Linked DNA regions of Mus musculus: all the other regions are reported to be linked to region 1. Evidence: microRNA targets listed by miRTarBase, many of them from high-throughput screens and not tested one by one. Region 1 holds a microRNA gene; each other region holds the end of a gene's coding sequence.
Evidence for each region. Region 1 holds the annotated microRNA mmu-miR-124-3p (UAAGGCACGCGGUGAAUGCC, at 3,268-3,287, opposite strand). A microRNA usually pairs through its seed, bases 2 to 8, with sites in the 3' UTR of a target mRNA and lowers its output. Matches are read on the target gene's strand: a 7mer-m8 pairs with bases 2 to 8, a 7mer-A1 pairs with bases 2 to 7 and ends in A, and an 8mer does both.

Region 2: miRTarBase lists Fuca1 as a target of mmu-miR-124-3p. Seed matches in the 3' UTR shown: 7mer-A1 at 4,586-4,592, 7mer-m8 at 4,333-4,339 and 7mer-A1 at 3,911-3,917.
Region 3: miRTarBase lists Fads2 as a target of mmu-miR-124-3p. The part of its 3' UTR that is shown has no 7-base or 8-base seed match.

Annotation. Positions count from the first base shown.
Region 1 is chr3:17,791,523-17,799,009 of GRCm38, reverse strand. It overlaps Mir124a-2 (microRNA 124a-2), which reads right to left and starts at 3,348; the gene lies at 3,240-3,348. It overlaps Mir124-2hg (Mir124-2 host gene (non-protein coding)), which reads right to left. Exons shown (of 3, transcript NR_033490.1): 2 at 3,997-4,417. It overlaps Gm51272 (predicted gene, 51272), which reads left to right and starts at 3,269; the gene lies at 3,269-3,325.
Region 2 is chr4:135,936,610-135,944,096 of GRCm38, reverse strand. It overlaps Fuca1 (fucosidase, alpha-L- 1, tissue), which reads right to left. Exons shown (of 8, transcript NM_024243.4): 7 at 7,075-7,174; 8 at 3,797-5,023. The coding sequence ends at 4,883. Among named protein-coding and RNA genes, the nearest start is that of Hmgcl, 6.1 kb to the left of the region's middle.
Region 3 is chr19:10,059,314-10,066,800 of GRCm38, reverse strand. It overlaps Fads2 (fatty acid desaturase 2), which reads left to right. Exons shown (of 12, transcript NM_019699.2): 8 at 189-286; 9 at 453-549; 10 at 1,120-1,199; 11 at 1,990-2,115; 12 at 2,487-4,036. The coding sequence ends at 2,538. Fads3 (fatty acid desaturase 3) reads right to left here. Exons shown (of 12, transcript NM_021890.3): 12 at 7,130-7,487. Among named protein-coding and RNA genes, the nearest start is that of Gm29917, 15 kb to the right of the region's middle.

The sequences.
Region 1 (7,487 bases):
GTAAACACCTTGAGCTTGGCATCTTTATTCTAATTCAGATATTTCCTATCATAAGACTTCAGTTATGTGCAAAACTCAAGAAACTTATTTCTTTTTCAGCTGCCTATTAGAAAGGCTTTGCCCTCAGATTTACAATTCCATATTTTTTTATAAAATTAAAAAAAAAAAAGACACAGAAATACAACCAATAGAATCGACAATCTGCTTTAAACAATGACCTCTCGCTTCAGAATGTAACCATCCCAGGAGTGGTCCTGATGAAAATCGGGTAGCCTTTTCGGACGAAGAATAAGATGGAAGCTTTTAAATTCTACAGATTAAATGATCCTAAGAGCTTACTGCTTCCTGGGCTTATTGAAACTCTTGACCATCTGGCTTCGGAAACCAGTGTTCTATTTGTTGGGAGCAGCAGAGGGCGCTCTGGCGTTGTTGACACCAGATGCCTCGGTTCCCTGCGCTAGCATCTTACTCCCTGGAAGAAACACACTATTCCCAAGGAGGGTTGTCCCTGAGAGTCTCAACCGGTCAAGCTGTTCCTAAATTATCCCGAGAAGCTCTAATTTCAGACCACTAGATGAAAGTTGTGATTGCTAAAGGACTCGCATGGTCCTCTGCACCAAAGCTCTCTAATTGTCCACCTGGGTTGTTTTGCTGGAAAACTGCTGAGCACAGAATTTCATAGCAGGAAAATTTTGTAATGGACATTAAGTTGGGTGATTACTTATAAAAAATGAAAATAATTAATTTTAAAAGTACACAAACACCATGAATCAATAACCACACTGGATTTAATCATAGCAACCAGATGACTAAGTCCTGTACTTGCTCCCTTACTTTTTAAATTCTTTCATATTACATGTTTCATTTTTATTTAGAAAATATATTTTTTAACTGATTAAGATTTCTGAAGCGAGAGTATAGGACTGCTGTAAACAAGTAGGATTAGGTCGGGGAGTATTATTGTGTTTTTATTATGTAATATGAATTACACTGATGTAGCAGGACTGTTAGACCCTTTTTGCTTTGTGAGGAGCTCAGGGGATTGTGAGGAGAGACCACCAGAATAACTAGGTCGTTGCTGGAAGGAGGAGCATCCATGACAACCTTCAGCACTTCAAACCCATTCCCATTTCTGGTGAGTTTTTTTTTTTTTTTTTTTTTTTTTTTTTTTCAGCGACACAAGAGGGGGTTTCTTTGTGTTTGAGGTAGCTCTTGTCCCAACAAAGTGTGATATCGCCATCTCACCCCCCCCCCCAGATTGTGTAAAATCAAATGCAAACCTAAAATTTGTGGATATAAAGATCCTAATTTACAGAGTTTTAAAATCAGAAAACAAAACTAAAAGCCACCTTTTTAGGATGGAGTGAATAGGAACTAGACCCCCAAGAATATCATTTCTGAGCTCATTTTTTCCTGAATCATTGGCTACATTTCAACCATTCAGGTGGAAGAGAAGAAATAGTATAAAAACATATTTTTTAGGCCATTGTTCATTTATGGACCATTTCTATGCCCAGGTAAAAATCACTGTCACTGTGTCTCTTTACAGCTTTGTTTAGTTTATCTATGACTGATGTTTGACAGTATTTATGATGTGAATCTACAAAGAAATTCAAGCATGGAACATTTTCTTTCCTGGACCCACGGCTGAATACAAACCAATCTATTGTCTATTACTTTTTCCATTGCACATATGACTCAATATAGAAATTAATATTTTACTATTTATATACAATACTCTCAATATTTAAATTAGAATGCTGATAATTTTAAATATATGTTGAATGCATTAATTCAGACACATTTGACCCAGGACTCCTAAGACAAATCTTCATTATATGGGATTTGGTAAGCTACTCTGCCTCCCTAGTGAGCTGTGCTCTGCAGTATGGTTTTCTCTGCACTGTGGGATTCAGGCCTCCTAGGACTGCAGTACCTCCTGTGAGGAGCGAGGCTCACTGCCAGCTCCTGGGCACCATCACCCTGCCACTCTGTGGGCCTTGGCCTCAGAACTCAGTAAGGAAAGCTGTCCCACAGAAAGCCTTGCTGAGAGCCACGAGAGTGGTTGCAGGCTTCTCTACTCCTGCCTGCTCTGGTCACTAAATCAACCTCAGTCAGAACCTTTTAAATATATTTTGAGGCACACTCTAGGGTCCTTTGAGAGGTATCTTTGGTGACCATATCTGAGATAAGATCCTCAACTGAAAACCGTGTGTTTCTCTTTTCAAGATTGTGATTTAAGAGGAAAAAAAATCTATTTAATCTCTCTCTAGCACATTTTGTTAACTACTCGGGTTTCTGGCCAAATCAGCTGATTGTCAGAGTGGATGGTTTCAGCAAAATACTGTTTAGCCTGTCTTTCCGTATTTCAAGGTTTTTATTTGTAAGTTAACTAATATCCTGGGGTATGGGGCTGGGTTAGAGAAGAAGCGATTCTATAATTCTATTGCCTTGTTTGCAGAATTACCACAAGAGGAGGGGGAGGAGGTAATGGAGGAGGAAAAGAAAGAGGAAGAGGAAGATGATCCTGTCAGCAAGGCGAGGGTGCGGCCACTTTGGGTTATCCTTCTCCAGCCTCTCCTTTGTTCCCAGGCCAGATAGGCCACCACAGAACAAAGACTTCCACCAAGGCTCTTTCTCAGCGGTGGTTTTCTTAGGCTTTCGGGTTATGGAACCTACCTTAACTAAGTACCTCATGGTCTTCCAAATACATTAATTTACCAAGTCTTAGAGTTCCTGGCTTGGCCTTTCCCTCTTATTGGACAATATTGACTGATTTGGGTATTGTCACTTTGCCTTGGCCTTTTAAATCCAGTCAAGGCTACCATGAGACTGGGTAAAGAATGGGAGAATAGTGAAAAGCTTGGGGCGGGGGTCCTATTTTCACTGATAATTGAGTCATTTGAGGTTTCTTATGCAGTGTGGTCTGGGGTTTCTCATCCGTTTTGTTTTCCCAGTTCGACCCAGAATTTTATTTGGAAAAGGCCAGCACTCTCTGAGTGCCATCTCTTAGACCGTTTGCACCAATGGGAACTACAGCTCTCCTGACAGCTGTCAATGAAACCTCTAATATTCCCCTTGGGAGTATGCATGCGGATTTCCCAGATTCTCGCTGAAAAACATTTGACTGTCTTGTATTCTAAAGATTTTGAATCAATGCGAGGGGTCCTTGTGTCGCACAGGATGGGTTCATTCTAGAATTGTTTCTCCCCACCCTTCCTAACTTCTCTCGGATGTCCTTCAAGTGCAGCCGTAGGCTCCGCTCTTGGCATTCACCGCGTGCCTTAATTGTATGACATTAAATCAAGGTCCGCTGTGAACACGGAGAGCAGAGTCTCTGATCTTGATCTAGAAGCAAGTGACTCATTGCAACTATTACTATAATTTTCTCCCTGCCCTTCACCCTCTCTTGGAGCTCTAGGCTTGGAGTCCCTACTCCTAGAGTTGTAGCTCTGAGCAGTACTCCCACCTCAGCTTTCCTCCCGCCACATCTGTCAGAGTTGCCATTAATTAGTCTGCAAGGTTGAAGAGTAGCGGGTGCATGAGTCTGCGATTCTTATGCATACATCTGCATGCCATTTACAGCGCACCTAAAACCCATACATATGTCTATAAATCTAGTTTTCAAATGATGACATGGATCGAAGTTAATTACCCCTCTGGTACAGATCTAATTTCGTAATCGTGTTATTTTACTGAAGGCAATTAACTGAGTTGGTTCGCCCTGAATGCCGTCCTAAGACATTTGTAAGGAAAGGCAAGTCTTTAAGGACCACACCATGAGTGTTCTGCTGCAGAAACCTTTGTCACTCATCCCCTGTTGCCAGAGATCTAGCAGAAAAAGCGAATATAATCATGCATGTTTGTATGTCCGACAAACACACGTATACGCCTTTGATAGCCCGATTTTGGTTGGGAAATTTTGGGAAAAGATCAGAATCCCAGGCCGGCTGGGTCCTCCTTCTTTGTATTGCGGAAAAATTAACTCAACAGCACCTGCCGAGTCCCGGGAGAGCTGGGGCCCATCTGGTCTGGCTATGATTTTACTGCGAAGAGAAAAGGCTGCTTGCTCGGGCTTCCTCCGGCTCTGGAGAGCAGAGATCGGGTCTGAGCCCGCTCTGGGCGTAGATTTAAGGGCAGCGCAGCAGATGCGCTCTCTCTGACTGCGGCGGGAGTCAGGAGGAGATCCGAGTCTGGGCTCGGCGGAGGGAGGGCAAGATGGAAAGAAGAAGAATGAGGGGAGTTGACCTCTACGGGCGGAGCCCTCTGGACGGCAGGCCGGAGGCGGCAAGCAGCGGCTCTTTTCACAGCATCCCTTGCGGCTGGGTGGGCCAGGGGGATGGACGGACTGCGCTCGCCTGAAGAAAGCCAAAGGGCTCAAAAGCAGGTTTTGTGCGGAGACCCCAGAGCGCTCCCCCTGAAAAACAGAATCAAAGCGCAGAATTAGAGCAGGAGGGAGGAGGGGGAGACTGGAGAGGAGGGACAGGAGGAGGGAGGAATCACTCTAGGGAGCCAAGGTGACCGGCCGTCCGGACCTATAGAATCGAGCTCGGGGAGCCCCTGCAATGTGCGGGGCGACAGGGGAGTTCCCAACTCAATCCCGGCTTCGGAAGGTGAGAAGATGCAGTCAGGACGAGAGAAATGTTTTCCTGAGATGGAGTCTTGAAAGCGAGTCCTCAGATTGTCCTCTGTGCAGTCTCAGCGATTTGCGCATCCCGCGCGCCCTTACCCATCTAACCCCTCCCTCAGACCACACGCCAGAACCGCATTCTCCAATCTCCACCCCTTCTTGGTTTAGAATCCTGCAAACTGCAAGACTGAAGAGTTCTCGCATGAAAATCGAAATGATCGATGAAATAAAGAATTTCATATAGGCATAGCCCTAGAAATCCAAAGGCGAAAGAGCTGCTAGCTCTGCTCAAACCTGCAGAGGACCAAAGCGTTTTCAGGGGCTGCTCCGCGTGTTCTCGGAGGAAAGAGGAGGCTGAGTGGTTTCCGCGATATAAGGTGCTTTAGGATGGGCGGTGGGGGCAGGGAGGGGGTGGATCGTAGCGGTCCGGTCTTTCCCCCTCGCTTGCTGATCCAGAATTAGGGATTAATGGCTCGCTCCAGCCAAACAAATAAGGCATCTGCCTTCAGCACAAGAGGATTACACGGGCTGCTGACGTCACCAGTCAGACAGATGTTGGCTCCCAAAGTCCTGAACAGCTCGCTGTGTCCTTGAAACCAAAGAGCTGCAGAAGGCGCGCAGCCCCCAAGAGCTGCGCCTGGGCAAAGCAAAGGGCACCCTCCTTGCCCTTGCTTACACTCTCCTGCACGCACCACACTGGCCCCAATACAACTACCTAAGACAGAGCTCCTCAGTCTCTCTTGCCTTCTGCACAGCCCCCAGTCAAGGTCCAGGCTGGCTCAACACAAGTCAAAGTCACCACACTTGGCTTCTGTCTCCTAAAATAGAGACAGTACTACTTTCTCAATCCTCATCTAAAATCTGGCACGCACAGCCAACACCTCACCATGGACAGAGCTAAGCTCCAGATGAGCGACCACCTCTTCATTTTATGGTTAAGGCATATCTGCATCTTTCGTCCCCACCATTGTCCTTTCCCCAGGCCAAGGTCTAAATTTTTTATGCTTATTCTTATGAATGAAGACAGGCTGGAGCACCTTCCTAAACAATGACTCCCAAACTGTCTCTGCTTTCTACCAGAGCCCTGGGCCACCATTACAAGAACCACAAGAGCCCATTATGAAATGATCAGAATACCACCAAATTCCATTTAATATCCTTCTCAAATGCTTTTTAAATATTTAAATTTTTAAAATGCGGGTGTCAAAAACATATCTATCATCTATGCTAAGAAACAAGGACATTCAAAGAATTGCAGTTTCATTCTCTGGACAAGCACGATGGCTAAAGATCCGGAATTCATTGCCTTACAAATCTCAACGTCACTTGAATTTTATTTCAAATTTAAATGTAAATTGTTTTTTTTTAATTTTTCTAACCTGTGTGTTGTTAATGATTTATACGATCTTCCAGGCCTTTACAGGTCACAAAGAAGACTGGTTACAAAATAAGTCAGAAGTCACAGGGTTGAAAGTGAAAATTTAAGGGAGCAGTTATATAATCCACAAGAGAAATAATTGTGATGAATTTCACTTCTGAAAAGGTTAAGGTAATGAAACTCATGCAAAAAGCAATATAGTTATTTGACACAGAGCCACAGTGAACCAAACCTGTGCCCTAACCTGGATCAATATGTATGTGAAAGTCTGTTGTTTTCCTGGGGGTTAGGGTGAGTGTCCGTCTAACCAGTCACTGCACAGTTAGTTATGCACTATAGTGTCTGTCCAGAAATAAATGGGGGTATGGGAGTCATATCTCTATTCATATTATCCCTGTCTATCAAAGTGGCATTTAATTTTTCCAATTCTATGCATTTAGAAACCTAGTCACTGATAAAAATCTATTTAATTTGCTCTAGTGTCATTCAGCTAATCCCAGACAAAATATAAAATTTCTCTTTCTTTATTCAGCTGTATGTCCTATAACAAACATCCCATACCAAAATGAATGTATTTAAAACTGTAATTTACTAGTGACATAAGGTAGAAATGACCTTTAGTTTGATTTTTAAAAAGTCACATCCATGAGAAAGGACAGATGTTGAAGATATGAATTATCATTTCCTTAAAACGTGGTAGAATGCATACAGTATCCCTTAAATTCAAATTTTAGTTTTAAATTCAAGATTTATTCCAAATTGTTATAAAATAAAATTTTCGTTGCCTCCAACAGATGCTATGAAGGTAAAATTTCACACACAATTTTGCTGGAGTCGGTTTGCTTAATAACTAGTTCGCTGTCCATGGTTTTGATCCATATGAAGGAACAAGCTCCAGTGCTTTGGAAAATTTTAAGTCAATGTGTTTCTTCATTAATTTGACTTCTTAACTTTTTAAGATTATATAAAAGGAGGAGAATAGTATGTGAGCCCCATTTCTTCTTCATTCAGCTGTTTTCATTTTTTTTCTGTATTTCTCACCAAATGAAGTACCAGAATCAAATGGGGAGAGGGCTACATTTCATTATTTCTGAACTGACAAACGATCGCTCAATGCACCTATACAAAGATCTTTAATAAATAGGATATAAAATTTTCATCTGCCCACTTTGTCTCACCCTCTCCCCTCTGGCTAAGAAAAGTAACACAGAGCTCTTTAGTCTTGTAGAGTCATCTTTGTTTACTTTTGAATATGGCTTAGCTAGACCAAGAAAATTTATAAAATTGATACTCCAAGGAAAAAGAGAGAAAGAACGGAACAATACTCCTCTGGGAGATCGTCCTGTCTCTATTGTATCTTCATACAGCTGTGGGCAGTGTAGATAGCTATCTCACATCTACAATGAGCCAATTCTGAAGAATCCCCCTACTAACCCCAGCACTTTCTATGGCAGTGAGGACAGCATGATGATGAAGTGA
Region 2 (7,487 bases), not on the chromosome of region 1:
CAGTTAGATGGCTCAGTGGGTAAAGCACACCTGAGGCCACAATTTAACATCTGAGACGTGATTCCTGGAGTGCCTGTGCCTGCAGGCACACACATGCACACGCTGGAACAGAAAGCATTCTTAGGGCTGAAATGATACTGAGAACAAAACCTACATTGGAAAGGAAGCCAAGAGGCCTGGGATGGCAGCCTGCACCTGCAATCCCACTGGAAGAAAGCAGCCACCTCTAGGTGGAGTCAGGCCCTTAAAGGGTTTAGCCGATGTGGCAGGATCTGGCTAGGGGACACTCCTAGGAAGATGTTGTTTTCCTTCCTAGAATTCCCACCCCTAATGCAGTCCCCACTGGCCTTGTAAGCCACCATGAGGTCTAGTCTCCACTGGATCTAGTCTAAGCCCCTGACTTGAGAGGTGTAGTCGCCTCCCACAGTCCCTTCCTCCTCTTTTTTGGCAGGACCATTTCTTGGCTCTCGGATGCTGCTCCAGAGCCTAAGCTGCAGGGAGGCTCCCAAACAGTTCGGGTTTCCTTGTCCTTTTTTACTGGGCTCTGGTCCCTAGGCTGTGGCTGCCTCCAGGCATCTGGCCTCCTGCCTTATCTCTAGCCAGGAGCCTCGATATTGGCTCAGTCTCCTCTCCATCCTCTTCCTTCCTTCCTTCCAGGAAGCTGTGGGGTACACAGCTCATCTGCCCTAGGCTTCTTTCAAACTAATCCATTGCCCTCAGCTTTGGTTTGAGTTAGTTCTTTGTGCTTACAACTCTGTTTGCGCTTGTTCTTAAATTTTATTAATGAAACTGAGAACCCCAAGAGGGCACCCTGACTTTCCCAGTATCATATGAGGCTCCACTGGGACCTCCAAAGACTCCTGGCAACTCATCTCCACTGCGTCTTAATTCTTTAATTAGCAGAGCAAATGGACTTGCTCCTGAACCTCTAAACCACATCACTTTGAAGCTGAGGCAGGAAGATCCGGCAAGCGTTTGAGGCTAGCCTGGGCTACACGGTGAGTTGCACAAAGACCTAAGCTACAGAGTGAGATCCCGCCTCAAAAGACGACTAAAAAAAATAGTGATTCTCTCTCTTCCCATCTTCCTTCCTTTCTTAGTTAAAAAAACAAACAAACCAAAACCAAAACGAAACAACCCTACCCCCCCAAAACCAAAACCAAACTAAAACCCCCTAAACCAACCTAAGAACAACAAAACAAAATAAAAAGTGAAGACACCACTAGGTATCTCAGGGAGAAAGTGCTTGTTCCAGCTTCCAGTTGTAGCCTCATGACGGGTTGTCCAGGTAGGAACTCAAGAGAGGCCATGGAAGACTGCTTATTTGTTCCTAACAGGTCACTCAGCTTGCTGTCTGTCTGTCTGTCTGTCTTTCCTTCCTTCCTTTCTTTCCTTTCTTTCTTTCTTCCTTCCTTCCTCTTTTTGCTTTCTTTTTTAAAGATTTATTTATTTATTATATGTAAACTACACTGTAGCTGTTTTCAGACACACCAAAAGAGGGCATCAGATCCCATTACAGATGGTTGTGAGCCACCATGAGGTTGCTGGGAATTGAACTCAGGACCTCCCACTGAGCCATCTCTCCAGCCCCCTCACCCTAATCTTTTAAACAGTTGCTCTGTGACTCAGCTATGTTCCTAAATGAGACCACTGTCTTTTTTTGAACAATGACTTCATGCTGTATGTTTCTCCTTCAAGTTATGTTTGTCGTGGTTTTTATCAGAGCGACAAGAAAGGAACTGATACCATGTTTTTATGCTTACGCATATGGTTCCTGTTGGGCCACCTTCGTGACAACCTTGGGACATACGTGGCTCCCAGACTGTGGATTAGACATGTCTGAAAGCAACTCAAATGTCCATGAACACTGCTTATCCATAAAGAGAATGAAGGAACTGGGGCGTGTCACAATGTAAACGAACCTGCTGAGTGACAGAAGACAAACACAAGGAGCTCAGACCATGAGATCTCAGTGACATGTGACCTAGATCAGGACACACCATGGATGCAGAGGGTGACAGTGATCACTTACACAGTGGGTCTCACAGAGTGCATGGAACATCAGTTCTCAACCTGTGGGTCTCGACCCCCGAGGCAGTTGACTGACCCTTTCACAGGGGTCAAGTAAAGCCATATACACATTATGATTCATAATAGTAGCAAGATTACAGTTATGAAGTGAAATAGTTATGGGATGAAAATAATTTTATGGTTGGGGGTCACCACAGCATGAGGAACTGTGTTGAAGAGCGGCAACATCAGGAAGGCTGAGAACCACTGAACTAGAGGTAGGAGGGTGCTGGAGAGAACTTCCAACAGCCATTGTTTCTTACAGGGATGGTGAGATTGTTCTAACTACTGTCGTGGATAACCTGTGAATATTCTAAACGCCATGGGACTGTAAGTGGGTTTTGTTTGATTTTCTCCTTTTGTTTTTTGTTTGTTTGTTTGTTTGTTTGTTTGTTTTTGTTGTTGTTGTTTCAAGACAGGGTTTCTCTGTATAGCCCTGGCTGTCTTGGAACTCACTTTGTAGACCAAGCTGGCCTCGAACTCAGAAATCCGCCTGCCTCTGCCTCCCAAGTGCTGGGATCAAAGGCATGCGCCACCACGCTCGGCTTCCTTTTGTTTTTTTGAGACAGGATTTGTCTGTGTAGCCCTGGTTGTTCTGGAACTCACTTTGTAGACCAGACTGGCCTCAAACTCAGAAATCCACCTGCCTCTGCCTCCCAAGTGCTGGGATTAAAGGCATGCGCCACCACACCTGGCGCATACTATTTTTTAATGACGTATTTTGATTTTGTTTATGGGTGTTTTGCCAGCATTTATATTTGTGCTCCATGTGTGCAGCCCAAAGCAACCAGAAGAGGGCGACAGACACTGTGTCTGTAACTGGAGTTGTCGAGTGTGTGCTAGGAGCAAGCCTTGACCCCTGATGAGCCATCTCTCCAGCCTTCCTGGTTTTCTCAAGCACATAGGTAACGCTAAAATCTCGTGGTGGGCCAGGCAGTGGTGGTGCATGCCTTTAATCTCAGCACTTGGGAGGCAGAGGCAGGCGGATTTCTGAGCTTGAGGCCAGCCTGGTCTCCAAGGCAAGTTCCAGGATAGCTAGGGCTGTTATACAGAAAAACCCTGTCTCGAAAAATCAAAACAAGAACAAAAATAAACCCAAATTACACAGCCACCATATATTTTAAATTAAAAACAAGGGAAGCCAGTCAGTGGTGGTGAGGGTCTCTGAGTTCAAGGCCGGCCAGGGCTACCCAGAGATGGCTCAGTGGTTAAGAGCACTGACTGGCTGCTCTTTGATTTCAGTTCCCAGCACCCACATGACAGCTCAGAACTGTCCGTGACTCCAGTTCTGGAGGATCCAATGCCCTCTGCACATAAATTCCTGAGTACACAGTGAAGCACAGGTTGAGCTGGTAGTTGTCAAAGACAGACACCAGAATGAGAGAGAAGCCCCAGGGACCACACACAGTGTTCTGCATTAAAGAGACCAAACAAGCTAGCTCTCTCCTCCTTCCCTTCCTCTGGACAGTCTATACAGCTTAGGGCAGCCTTGAGCTCACTATATAGACAGGCCGGACTAGCTTCGGATCCTGTTGGATCACAGGCATGCATACCACACTTGGTTTATGCAGTGCCAGGAACTGAACCAAGGGCTCTGTGTATCCAAGCAAGCATGGTACCAAGTGAGCTCTATCTCCAGGCCACTTTTTTTTTTCTCCCTAAATAAAAAAAAATTTTTTTTAAATTAAAAAAAAAAAAAAACAAACAAACAAGGAAACCAGAAAATGAGTATAAAGCTGTAACCTAAGTTAGGGAAAGAAACCTATCACATGCTTGTGGTAGAAATAATTTGGCATACAAATTTACTTCCATCTTTTTTTTTTTTTTTTTTTTTTTTTTTTAAGGCAAGGCAGCATCGCCTTCTTTCATTGGTATCTCTGTGTCAGAGACCATCCCGTGAGAAAGCGAGCCCTTCACAATCTCCCTGACAGGCCAAATGGCCTCATGCTAGGAGCTGGTTATCACTCCCTCCTCCCTATTCCCTTCCTGGCACCTGAGGCTGTAAAAGCTAAATTATAGTCCCCTCTTCCCTGTCTCTTCCTGACTCCCAAGCCATCCAAGGACATGAGTTACGCCTGAGCCCGGCCTGACACCCCAAGGCTGTCAAGGAGGATCTATGTTCCGCATAGATCTATAAGATGCAGAGTGCCCGCCGCCTGGAGCCTGACTTCGGACCTCATGTGAGCAGATGCCCACTTTTTTGTTCTTTGTTAAAATTCCCCCTCGACCCCTCCCCATTCCCTGCAATGTATGCTATAAAACAAGGCACCTCAGCATAATAAATGGAGACCTTGATAGGTACAATCTACTTGGTCATCTGCTTCTCTTTTCTCTTCCAATCCCATATCCTTACAGGTCTGCGGTCCCCCTGGCACCCACGAATAACTGAATCCCGAGGGACGGGATATCTCTGAAGACGTGCTCAGTGGCAGAGCGTTTGGCTTGCTTGGCATGACAGCCTGGCAAGCCCGGAGGGCAGGACCTGGTCCATCTCTGCGGGACTGGTACCAACCAATAAGGCAGAGGGGGTTGAGCTCGCCAGACCTCTCTGACCTGCTCCCACAGGCAAGAGGATGACTTGGCTCATTATCAGGTAGGTCATCAGAGAAGAGAGGGAAGTTCCACCCTAGTGGAGGCATGGGTGACTCAGCTGAGCTGGCCAGGTCTCTCTGCCCACCAGAAATGCTAGCAATGGCTCGCCCATCCATTAGAACGGCTTGGGAGATTGACCACTGGGTGGAAGGAAGGGAAGCTACTTTATTGCAGGGATGGTAAGCAGCGCCCCAGGCAGTCTGTCCTTGAGCTCCTTTGATCAGTTCACCTTTGTCAGCTTCAGAGTCCACGCAAACTCCACCGGCAGAACGGTAGGTGGCAACTGTGGCAGAGAGATGAGGACGCCCTCCAGTGGATCCTGGGTCCAGCTCAGGTCTCCTTCTAGTCCTAGCATTGTTATCTGCAGAAGGCAAAAGTGGAGAGCACCCGGTTATTCACTGATGAGCAGACTGTGCTCCAGATATGGTGGGGGAAAAGCTGTGCTGGGACAGAACAGCAAAGACAGGTGGGTGGGACATTCGTGTGGAAGGAACCTGGGAAGGAAGAAGCAAAAGCCTGCCATTAGCCAGGCATGGGGTAATTTTAGCACTGGGAGGAGACAGGAATGTGGAGGTTTGGTCTTTTGCTATGTACTGTGATGCTAAATACTGGCCCCCAAGGCCTGGTTGCCTCCAGGGATGAGAGAATCTGTACAGATAAAGTAATGCTATGTGACCTTGTTCCTTAATTTAAAACTATTGGTTGACTAGAGATGCCAACAGCTTATAACTGGGCAGAGGAGAGGTAGGTGGGATTTTGGTACCCAGGCTTGGGACCATAGGTGGAGAGAGGAGTTACAAAAACATAGCCATGAGGCTGGAGAGATGGCTCAGTAGTTGAGAGCACTGACTGCTCTTCTAGAAGTCCTGAGTTCAATTCCCAGCAACCACACGGTGGCTCACAACCATCTGTAATGGGATCTGGTGTGTGTCTGAAGACAGCTACAGTATTCATGTATAAATAAAAATAAATAAATAATATTTAAAAAAAAACCAACAACATAGCCATGAGGGCTGACCAGATGGAAATGGCAAGTTATACCTTGGGGGTTATTGATGGAAAAGTAGACAAAATAGCATAGAGGGTAGATATCTGCCCAGCTCTAGTGCATTAAAGGCTTATTATAAATATGAAAGTTTTCTGTCTTTTATCTGGGAACTGAATGATCAAAAGTGGGGTAGAAACCCCCAATTGAGATTAAATACTTAATACAACACAGGAGAGCCACAGGCTGAGATTAGCCTGAGTTACATAGAGAACTCAGCTTAAAAAACAAGAGCTGAGGCTGTAGTTCAGTGGTGGAATGTTTGCCTGAGCATGCCTAGGCCCTGAGGTCTATCCCCAGCAATAAAAAAATGAAAAACAAAACCAGAACATGCTAAACCTTAGGAGGGTGCAGGGAGCCATGTAGGAAAGGCGAAAGGCTGGCAAGTGTCTCCTGGAGCTAGCTTGTCATTCTGCACGGCCAGCAACGGGTGGGCTCCAAGCAGGCAGGGTCCTTAGAGACTTCATCCCGGGATTGGGTCTCTCTGCTGATACGCTTTCCTGTCACTATTACACAGCCTAAGGACTCCTGGGCATTATCCCACCCTATTTGGGCAGACTTTCTGCAGGCCAACATGAAGATGTACTTTCACATAGTAATGCTGGACAGACGAATTAATGACTCCATAATTCCTAATGATTTTGCAGGATTTCTAAGTTGATATAAGTAATTTCAAGTCCTCTATAGAATAAAAGCTGCACTTAGAGCTCGGTAAATCTTCATGTGTCATGGGCTAATTGTACTAGAAGAAAAAAGCAAGCGTGGAACAAATTTACGATCGCGGACAACATTCCTTCCAGGTTAGCTGTGACACTATTATCTGGTAACTGTGACACTATTATCTGGTAAGTACAGGTCACAAACTGGGCACGGAGAATTTATTCTAGGTGCGAGAACAGCAACTACTGACTAGTTTATCTATCCAAACCTTCAAAATAATAAGACACAAGGCAGATAATTTGTCTCTTGACAAAACTGTGCTAACGCGTGACATTAATGAACTTAGGGGCTAGTGACAGGTAATGCTTAGTGAGACACTAGCCTTCATGGGAGGACATGTAGACAATTCCGCCGTTAGACCTCAAGTCTTATCGATTTATGACTTGAATTGTTGCCGTAAACTTACTATGAGCTTATTGGAATGTAAAAGTATTTAGAAAATCATGTGATCAATTACCCTTCTCTAATAGTTCTGCCTGCTGGTTGTATGAGGTAGCTTTTAGAGACAGTATTTATACTGAGGACGGAAGTAGAGGGAGTGAGAGTGACAAGACCAGAGATCATCAGTCTCTGGCCTTCGTGCAGTGCTGGGTCCTGTGAAGGCCCGGGCAGGTCTGTGGCAGGAGGGACTGACAGAGTCTCCTTACCTTTGTGGCCGAGGTCGTTTTGGGGGATTTGAGGTTCACGATCCCATTTTCTGGCCAGTACAGGAAAGTGGCGTAAACAGTTGCGTTTTTAGTAGTGTACCTGGGAACAAAGAGACATCACTGCCCACGTCTGAGTCCAGCTGTTATCCCTAACATTCCCCCACACCCCAGTTAGATAGCTCACCCATCAAAGCCCTGGTGTTTGTCATCACCACTAGGGAGTGCAGTAAGGTGCTCGGGAAGGAAAGGGTCTGGAAAATTCATTGGGATTTTCTATTATCCCTTCACTGGGTTTTGTTAAGGTTTGTTGAAAAATTAAAATTAACCCTTGGGCAACTTATTTTCTAGAGCTTTCCCTGATGCCTCACTAGCCTTAAGCTTGCTGCCTCCCCCTTTCTCCCAAAAAAGAAGAG
Region 3 (7,487 bases), not on the chromosome of region 1:
CGATGCAAAGAGGTGGTTGAGGCAACTGTATGACTGGGCACAGTGTCCAACTTCCTAGCAGTCTGCTGTGGTTTCTTATGAACACCTGTGACAAGCAGTGTCAGCTGTGTATATACATGCCCCTGTGGTCAGCTGCACCATGCCAAGGAGGGTGGGGCAGGTTAAGTCTAATCTTATTTACCCTACAGGACTTGGCTTGGGCCATCAGCTACTATATGCGTTTCTTCTACACCTACATCCCTTTCTACGGCATCTTGGGAGCCCTGGTTTTCCTCAACTTTATCAGGTACCCCAACTTTGCTGGTTCACCCTGTGCTTTTGAGAGCACTGGCTTTGCCGGGGCTGTGATGTGAACCCTGAACCAGCCATGGGGGTAGGGTAGGTACAGTGGCTTTTTGTGGCTGCCTATCTCCCACCCTGAGGCTTCGGCACTGAGCTCTGCTGTCTTCTAGGTTCCTGGAGAGCCACTGGTTTGTGTGGGTCACACAGATGAACCACCTTGTCATGGAGATTGATCTTGATCACTACCGGGACTGGTTCAGCAGCCAGGTGAGGGGAGGCAGAGGTAGTCACGGGGGCCCTGGAAAGCTGTCCCATGTCCTTGCCTGCACCCTGCCTCTGTGGACCCAGGGCTATACAAACCTTCCCTAGGGCTACTTGGTGCCTGTTGGCAGCCTCAGAGCAAGAAAGGATGGTAGGAAGATTGGGGACGCAGCTCAGTTGGTGTGGCAGCCTCAGTTAAGCAAGAAAGGAGGGTAGAAGGTTGGGGACGCAGCTCAGTTGGTGTTTGCCTAGCATGCATAAAATCCTGGGTCTTATCTCTGGCACCCAATATACTCAATGTGGCGACCCATAATATAATCTTAGTACTTGGGAGGTGGAGACAGGAAGATCAGGAGTCCAAGGCCAGGATAAGTTAAAAACAACACAGAAGGAAATATGGAAGGAGTGATAAGAATCTACCAGAGGAAACTTGGGGAGTCTGGGAGGGTGAGGCTAGAATGGTATGACCTAGAGAGAGGCCCTAAAACCCTGGTTAAGGTGACCTTTATGGGGTAAGTCCAGGTCCTTTGGTTTTGTTCTTACACACCAGCCACTGATGCCCTGTCCCCTCTGCAGCTGGCAGCCACCTGCAATGTGGAGCAGTCCTTCTTCAATGACTGGTTCAGCGGGCACCTCAATTTCCAGATTGAGCACCAGTGAGTACAGCCCAGCAATGTTGGGGGTGTGGGGGGAAGAGGGGAGACAAGGAGCGGGAGGGCAGTGGCCACTAACCCACAGGCCAAGGGTGCCATGAGGTTTATCTTCTCTTCTTGGCAAAACCACCACCACCCCACCCTAGAGCACAGCTGGGCAGGAGAGGGGCTCTGGGATCAGCGTGCCCTGGAGGCATTGCTGTCCAGGCTCTGTGCCACATGGGCCATCCTGGGGACTGCACTCCTTCACGTGTGGCCTCTTTGCAGATATAGAAAGCTTACAAGACTATCCTGCAGACCTATAAGGGGCCTGGTTATTGGCTGGGAAACTGAGGACCAGCTAGATAGCATATCTGGTACACAGGGGCCCAAAGGGTCCCTGCTGCCTGCTGCCTCTTCCTGTATCTCTCATCTTTTCTTATTCTTCTCATCTTCCATCCGTTTCTTTCATTTCCTTTTTTTTTTTTTTTTGGCTTAGTGTTGAACTTACATAGGTCTTCTGCCTTGGCCTCCCACATGATGAGGCCAGGGGCGTGAGCCCTGATACCCTTTTTCTTTTTGTTTTTTAACATAAGACTCTTGTGTTTGGCTGTTCAATTCGGCTTTCTGCAGTGCCCCTGTTCATAAATTGCCCCTCTACACACCACCAGTAACATCTTCAGGCAGTTGGCAGGAGCCACAGTCTAGTCCTGGTTTAAGATAGGACCTCAGCCCTGCCTGCCTCCCTGGGTTGGAGAGGAGGTGGAGAACATGGGTCTTGGGTTGCACTCACTCTGCCCACCTGCTCCCCCAGCCTCTTCCCCACTATGCCACGTCACAACCTGCACAAGATTGCCCCACTGGTGAAGTCTCTCTGCGCCAAGCATGGCATTGAATACCAGGAGAAGCCGTTGCTGAGGGCCCTGATCGACATTGTGAGGTGAGGGGTGAGCTCCACAAGGGCTGAAGCTCTGGAGCACTGGAAGGGGCCAGAGATGAGGTGGGGCTGAGGAGGTGAGAGGCACATGGCTGGCCTTACTCACAGTAGGGACTCTAGCTCACAGTGGGGATTCCTGTCTACCCAGGGCTAGAAGAGGACCTCCCCTCTCTCCTTTCCCAGGGGTTTCTCTGGGGTGTATTAGTCAGTAGCCCACAGCTCCTGTGGTATCCTGTGGTAAGTGGTGAGCCCTAGTCAGTAGCTGAGAGGAAGCACCTGCCGCCCCAACATGACTTCCCACAAGTCTCACTGCCTGGAGGCCGAGGTTCCTTCCATCTGGTTCCTGAGCCCTGCCCCCCTCTCTCTATTTGCAGTTCACTGAAGAAGTCTGGGGAGCTGTGGCTGGATGCTTACCTCCATAAATGAAGCTGCCGTCCTCCGGGCACCCTCGGGAAAGGGGCACTGTTGGGTGACAGCCAGAGGGAGGGGAGGGCTTTTGTTCTGAAGGGTTCTCATGAGACTGAAGTGTCTGCTGCCTCACATTCCCCGGGCTTGCATCCTTTCTTGTTATTCCTCTTCCCTCACCCCTACCTACTCCATTCTCATGGAGTTCCCCCTTTGTCAGCCCTGACCCCATCCCCTCTGCCTCCCAGTCCCTTCTCCCAGAGAGCCGGAGAGGTGGTTGTCTCAGGTGGTTACGCGTCTGCCTTTAACTTCTGCACCTAAAGATTCCTGGTATGAGATTCTGCTCCTGGCAGCCTAGTCCCCACCCCCTTCTGTCCCACAGACACTCTGGGGGCCTGTGGAACAGGAGTCCAGGACTTGGCTCTACACTCCCTGTCAGCATTATGGTGTAGTCATTTGGGTGAAGACATGCTTCGTTCTGAGTGTCTTTCCCATGGCTGGGATTGGTACTTGAGGCTTCTTTCCAGCTGCCAAGGACCACCTTAGACTTTGAGGACCAAGGAAAAGTTCTCTCATGCCCACCATCACAACTCCAGACCATAGGGTTTGTACAGGTTCTATTTCATCATCTACCCAACTCCAGAAACCAAAGGGAGTGTTCCTTGTGCGGGCTCAGGAGAGGCAGTAGCCAGGTTGAAGGAGGGACTGACCAGCCTGGAACTTTAACCTCTCCCACTACAGTCAGGTGCTTCTGAGTTAAAAGGCCCAAGATTCTAGAAGGATCAGATCTTTTTCCAGATCCTCTGGCCAGTTCCAGATGCTTGGTCTAGAGAATGTGGACCTTGCAGGAGAGCCCCTGAGCAGCTCTCCCCAGGATAGAGCTGCCAATCTAGCCAGCACTTGGCTTCTTTTTGGCTCATCCCTGTCTTTACAGATGTTTGTTTGCTTGTTTGTTTTAGCTGTTGTGTTAACATTTCCTACAGAATTCTTCTTAATAGGAGAGTAGCAGAGGGCTGGCTGGGTCTTAGGACAATCCATCTTTACTAGATGTCCCTTGCCCTTCAGGTAGAGCTAGGCTTCGCCTTCAAGGCCACAGTATACGCTGTGGCTTGAGGTTGCTGCTATCAGAAAGGCAGGAAAAACAGGGTAGGGTGTGAGGTCTCAGGAGGGCTGTTGGGGGTACCCAGTGAGGCTCAAGCAGGAGTGTAGAGGGAAGAGGAGGCTGAGGGCATGAGGGAAATGTGAGGGCAGGTGGGAGGGGGGACGTCGGCTATAGCAGGAGGGGACCCACGCTATGTCATTCTGAGGTCTAACTGGACTAACCAACCAATATGTAAACTGGAGGAAAAGGCTGGGCCTGCACAGGGCAAGCCCTCTAGGACTCCATGAGCCAAGAGAGACCAGTTGGTATTGTTCCACAGAGGCAGAGAACCCATAGGAGATGGCAGTCATTTGTATCATCTTGTTCCCCGCCTCTACTTTTTTGGGAAATAAAAAAAAAAAAGTAATTTTATTCTCACTTGCCTGTAGTTCAGCAAGATCAATGGATGGCTAGTGTTCCTGTATGCTGATGTCACAGGTGTGGTAATGCAGGGTCTGGGAGGAAGGGCGGTGCTGCCCCACAAGAGCAGGGCCTGACTGTTAAGGCGAGTGGTGAACAGAACCCTCCCTGGTCCTCTCTCTAAGAGGACGGTGACGGGTCTGGAGACTGAGGCTTTTATTTTGTGTTGCTGTGCCCATGTGGAGTCTCTACAGCCTAGGGAAGGTCTATATCGTTCCAGCCCTGGTTACAGTTCCTACGCCCTGGTCTGACCTCCAGCCTGGGAAGCCAGAGTCATCTGCACCTGAGGTACCTGCCCAATTCACCTTGCAATTGGACCCATGCTGCATCCATCTCGGAACAGGCTCAAAGGGCCATGTCACTCCAGAGGTGTCAGAAGAGCCATCAGGCATGGGGTGGCCAATACTCCCGAGGTTTCTGTTGGCCTTGTAGCTGCTCCCAGCAAGGTTGGGGAGTGCTCCAGCAAAGATCTCATCTCCATAGGTGACCAGAACCTATCCATATAAGTATGGAGGGATAGTAGGAAGTCTGTGGGGGGTGATTCCCAGTGACCACACTGTAACTAGTACAAGGCTTGGGATGGCAGACATTGTCACTGATCCTCTGAGTGGCCCTGCGTGAGTCTTCCTCCACCTCATCTCCAGGGTACTCACTGCCACAGTTTCCTCCTTGAGGAAAAGAAATCATGGGATAGAATGCCTCCAAGGCTGATTTCTGTCAGTCTCCAAGAGCCTTGGCTTCACCTGACTGATAAGCCCCCTGGAGACTTTGGTGATGGCAGACTTGTTTGAACACACCTTCAGAACTTACCTATGTTTGTCTTCCACTTGCTGCTTGGGCAGGACCTGGCCCCCCAATACCCAGAATGCCTCAGGCCAAACCCTGCCAACTGTGAATGTGGGGTCTATGGCAGCTGACACCCAGAGATCTGGGGAGTGGGAGGGTGACTGAAGGGAACCCGGCAGGGATAGGTGTCTCAGATGTGAAGGTAAATTTAGGCTCACATCCATGAGCTTGTGTTTTCTCATATACACTCCTAGCTTCTGCCTTGAGCGCTACCTAAGGTCCAGAGCAGAAGACATACATCCCTGCTCTCTACATGAATAGCTCCTCTCTTGTTACAGTGCTCAACTGAGGCTATTGGCCAATATCCCCAAAGTTGTGGGGTGGGTTCTGTCCCCTAACAAGTCATGGACTTCTCTAATATTTAAAAGCCCAGCCTAATGAAACCCTAACATCTCACAGGCCAAGAAGCTGACACCAGAGAGGGGAAGATACTCACCCTGAGGCAGCACAGTGTCAGCAGAAGAATCAGAGCATACATGGGGAATACCAGTTGGCTGGGCCATCTCTTCCCCTTTACCCCATCATACCAAATGTCATATTGTACGGGAGGCTGGCCCCAGGGGTAGAGGCAGGCAGTGGGGCAGTTAGTTCAGGTGAAAGAGATGATCAGGAATGAGGTGCTATTGAAAACAAAACCCCTACTATCTTTGAGGTAGTATGAGCTTATGCCAGACAGCAGACTCAGAGGCTTCTCTGGGGCTGTTGGAGCAGCCTGAACATCTGTGCGTGTCTATCTGTGTGTATAACTGGAAGCCCAGAGGTTTCTGTACGTGTCTGTCTGTGTGTATAGCTGGAGGAGCCCTCGGGGCCACTGGGAGGGAGGAGAAGGCCTCAGGCAAGAAGGTCATGGAACAGAAGGAGATTACAGCCACTTGGGAAACCATACCTTGGGCCTCTTGCGGCTCAGCTGGCTTGGAAAGTACTGTTCAGAGGACAGCTGCTGCTGTGAGATAGATCACACAGCAGTGGGTCCCAGCAGGTCATCTGGTGACCTGCGAATGGGCTGGAGGAAAAGACTTGCTGTACGATCTGGACACTGGTGTTCTTTTGACTGACAGGACTGCGCATTTCTAGGCAGACTGGGTTCACAGATAAATGAAACATAAAATTGCCCAGTGTCTCAGGACTTCACAGTGGCTCCACTGCCTCCTGCCAGAATCAAGCCTTTTTCTTTTTTTCTTTCTTTTTTTTGGGGGTGGGGGGGTGGGGGTGGGGTGGGGACTTGGAAGGCACTTAATTGGGTTTTGCTTCAAACCATTTGGTTCAAGAGCTAATAATGCCTAAAGGGAGCTAGTAACAGGAAACAGGGCTTGGAAAGTACTGGTGTCTTTAAGAACACAGTATGTTTTAAGGACAAAGTATGTTTACACATCGTTCTTTCGCAAGGCCTTTATCTCCCCACCGCCAGCCGCACCCACAAAGGCAGAGGCTGGTTCGTGGGAGCTGGCCACTGGAGTCTCTTAGCTATTGGTTGACCGAAAGGACAAACAAGCCGTGACTTCCCTCTGGAACCTTTCTTTCTGGATTCAGGACTGTTGGACAGAAAATAGAAAGGGAGACAGTGGGGTCTTTCAAAGGTACTACCATGGCCTTTTCCTGTCCTCTTGATAAGTGTGGTCTGTGATCTCTACAGGAAGACGGACTCAGGTGAGTGGAGGTGACCCACTGCCAGGAGCTATAGCATAGATGACAGGGGAAGGTGGGACAAAAATGACCTATCAGTAATGGGCTCTGGGTAGAAGGAAGAGACCTAAAGGCAGGGGTCTCTGCAGGGTATTTTATTGGATAACTCTGGATTTGGAGGGAAAGAGCACATTCCCCATGGCTACCACTAGGGGCAGCATGAAACACAGTCCAAGCTGCAGTCAGTCATGTGGATACCCGTGGATGGTGCTGCAGGCTGGGTGATTTCCTCTGAGCAAGACACATCTCTAAGCACGTCAGAGACACCAACAGAAATCTGACTTTGCCAGAGTGGAGACCAAGTGCTTTCAGACAGTATGCTGAGGGAATGCCATATCTATGTGGGACTAGGATCATCAAAGTTTGGATAGGAAAGGGGACTTCTGCAGGGAACGGAAGTACAGAAAGATGGTGTGATACACTCTGGGTATAAGAAATTTGCTTTTGAGGCAAGAAGTAGTGGTGTGTGTGTGTTAGAGCTTGACTCGGCGAACACATGCTAGAAGACTTCCTACTGAGTTACATCCCCAGACCCTTAAAATATTTATTATCATCTCAAACAGGATTTTAATAAGTCGCCTTGGCTGCCTTTGAACTTGTGATCCTTCTGTTAAGTACCTTGGACTACAAGTATATATAACAGGGCTTAGAAGTAGCTTTCAAGGGATCTTCAGCCCTTACCTGAGGAAGAAAATAAAGTCCAGAGAAAGCAAAGGGCTTGTCTCAGAGAACAAAACAGTTTAGCCCAGAGGCATGGGGTCATACGCATAAAGCTTTTAAATACATTTCTGCCTTTTGGCGCAAGCCTTTCTAGGGCATCCTTTTTATTTCTCATCGCGTTGAAAGCGACACTTTGGATTTACTTTGGATTTAAGAGCTT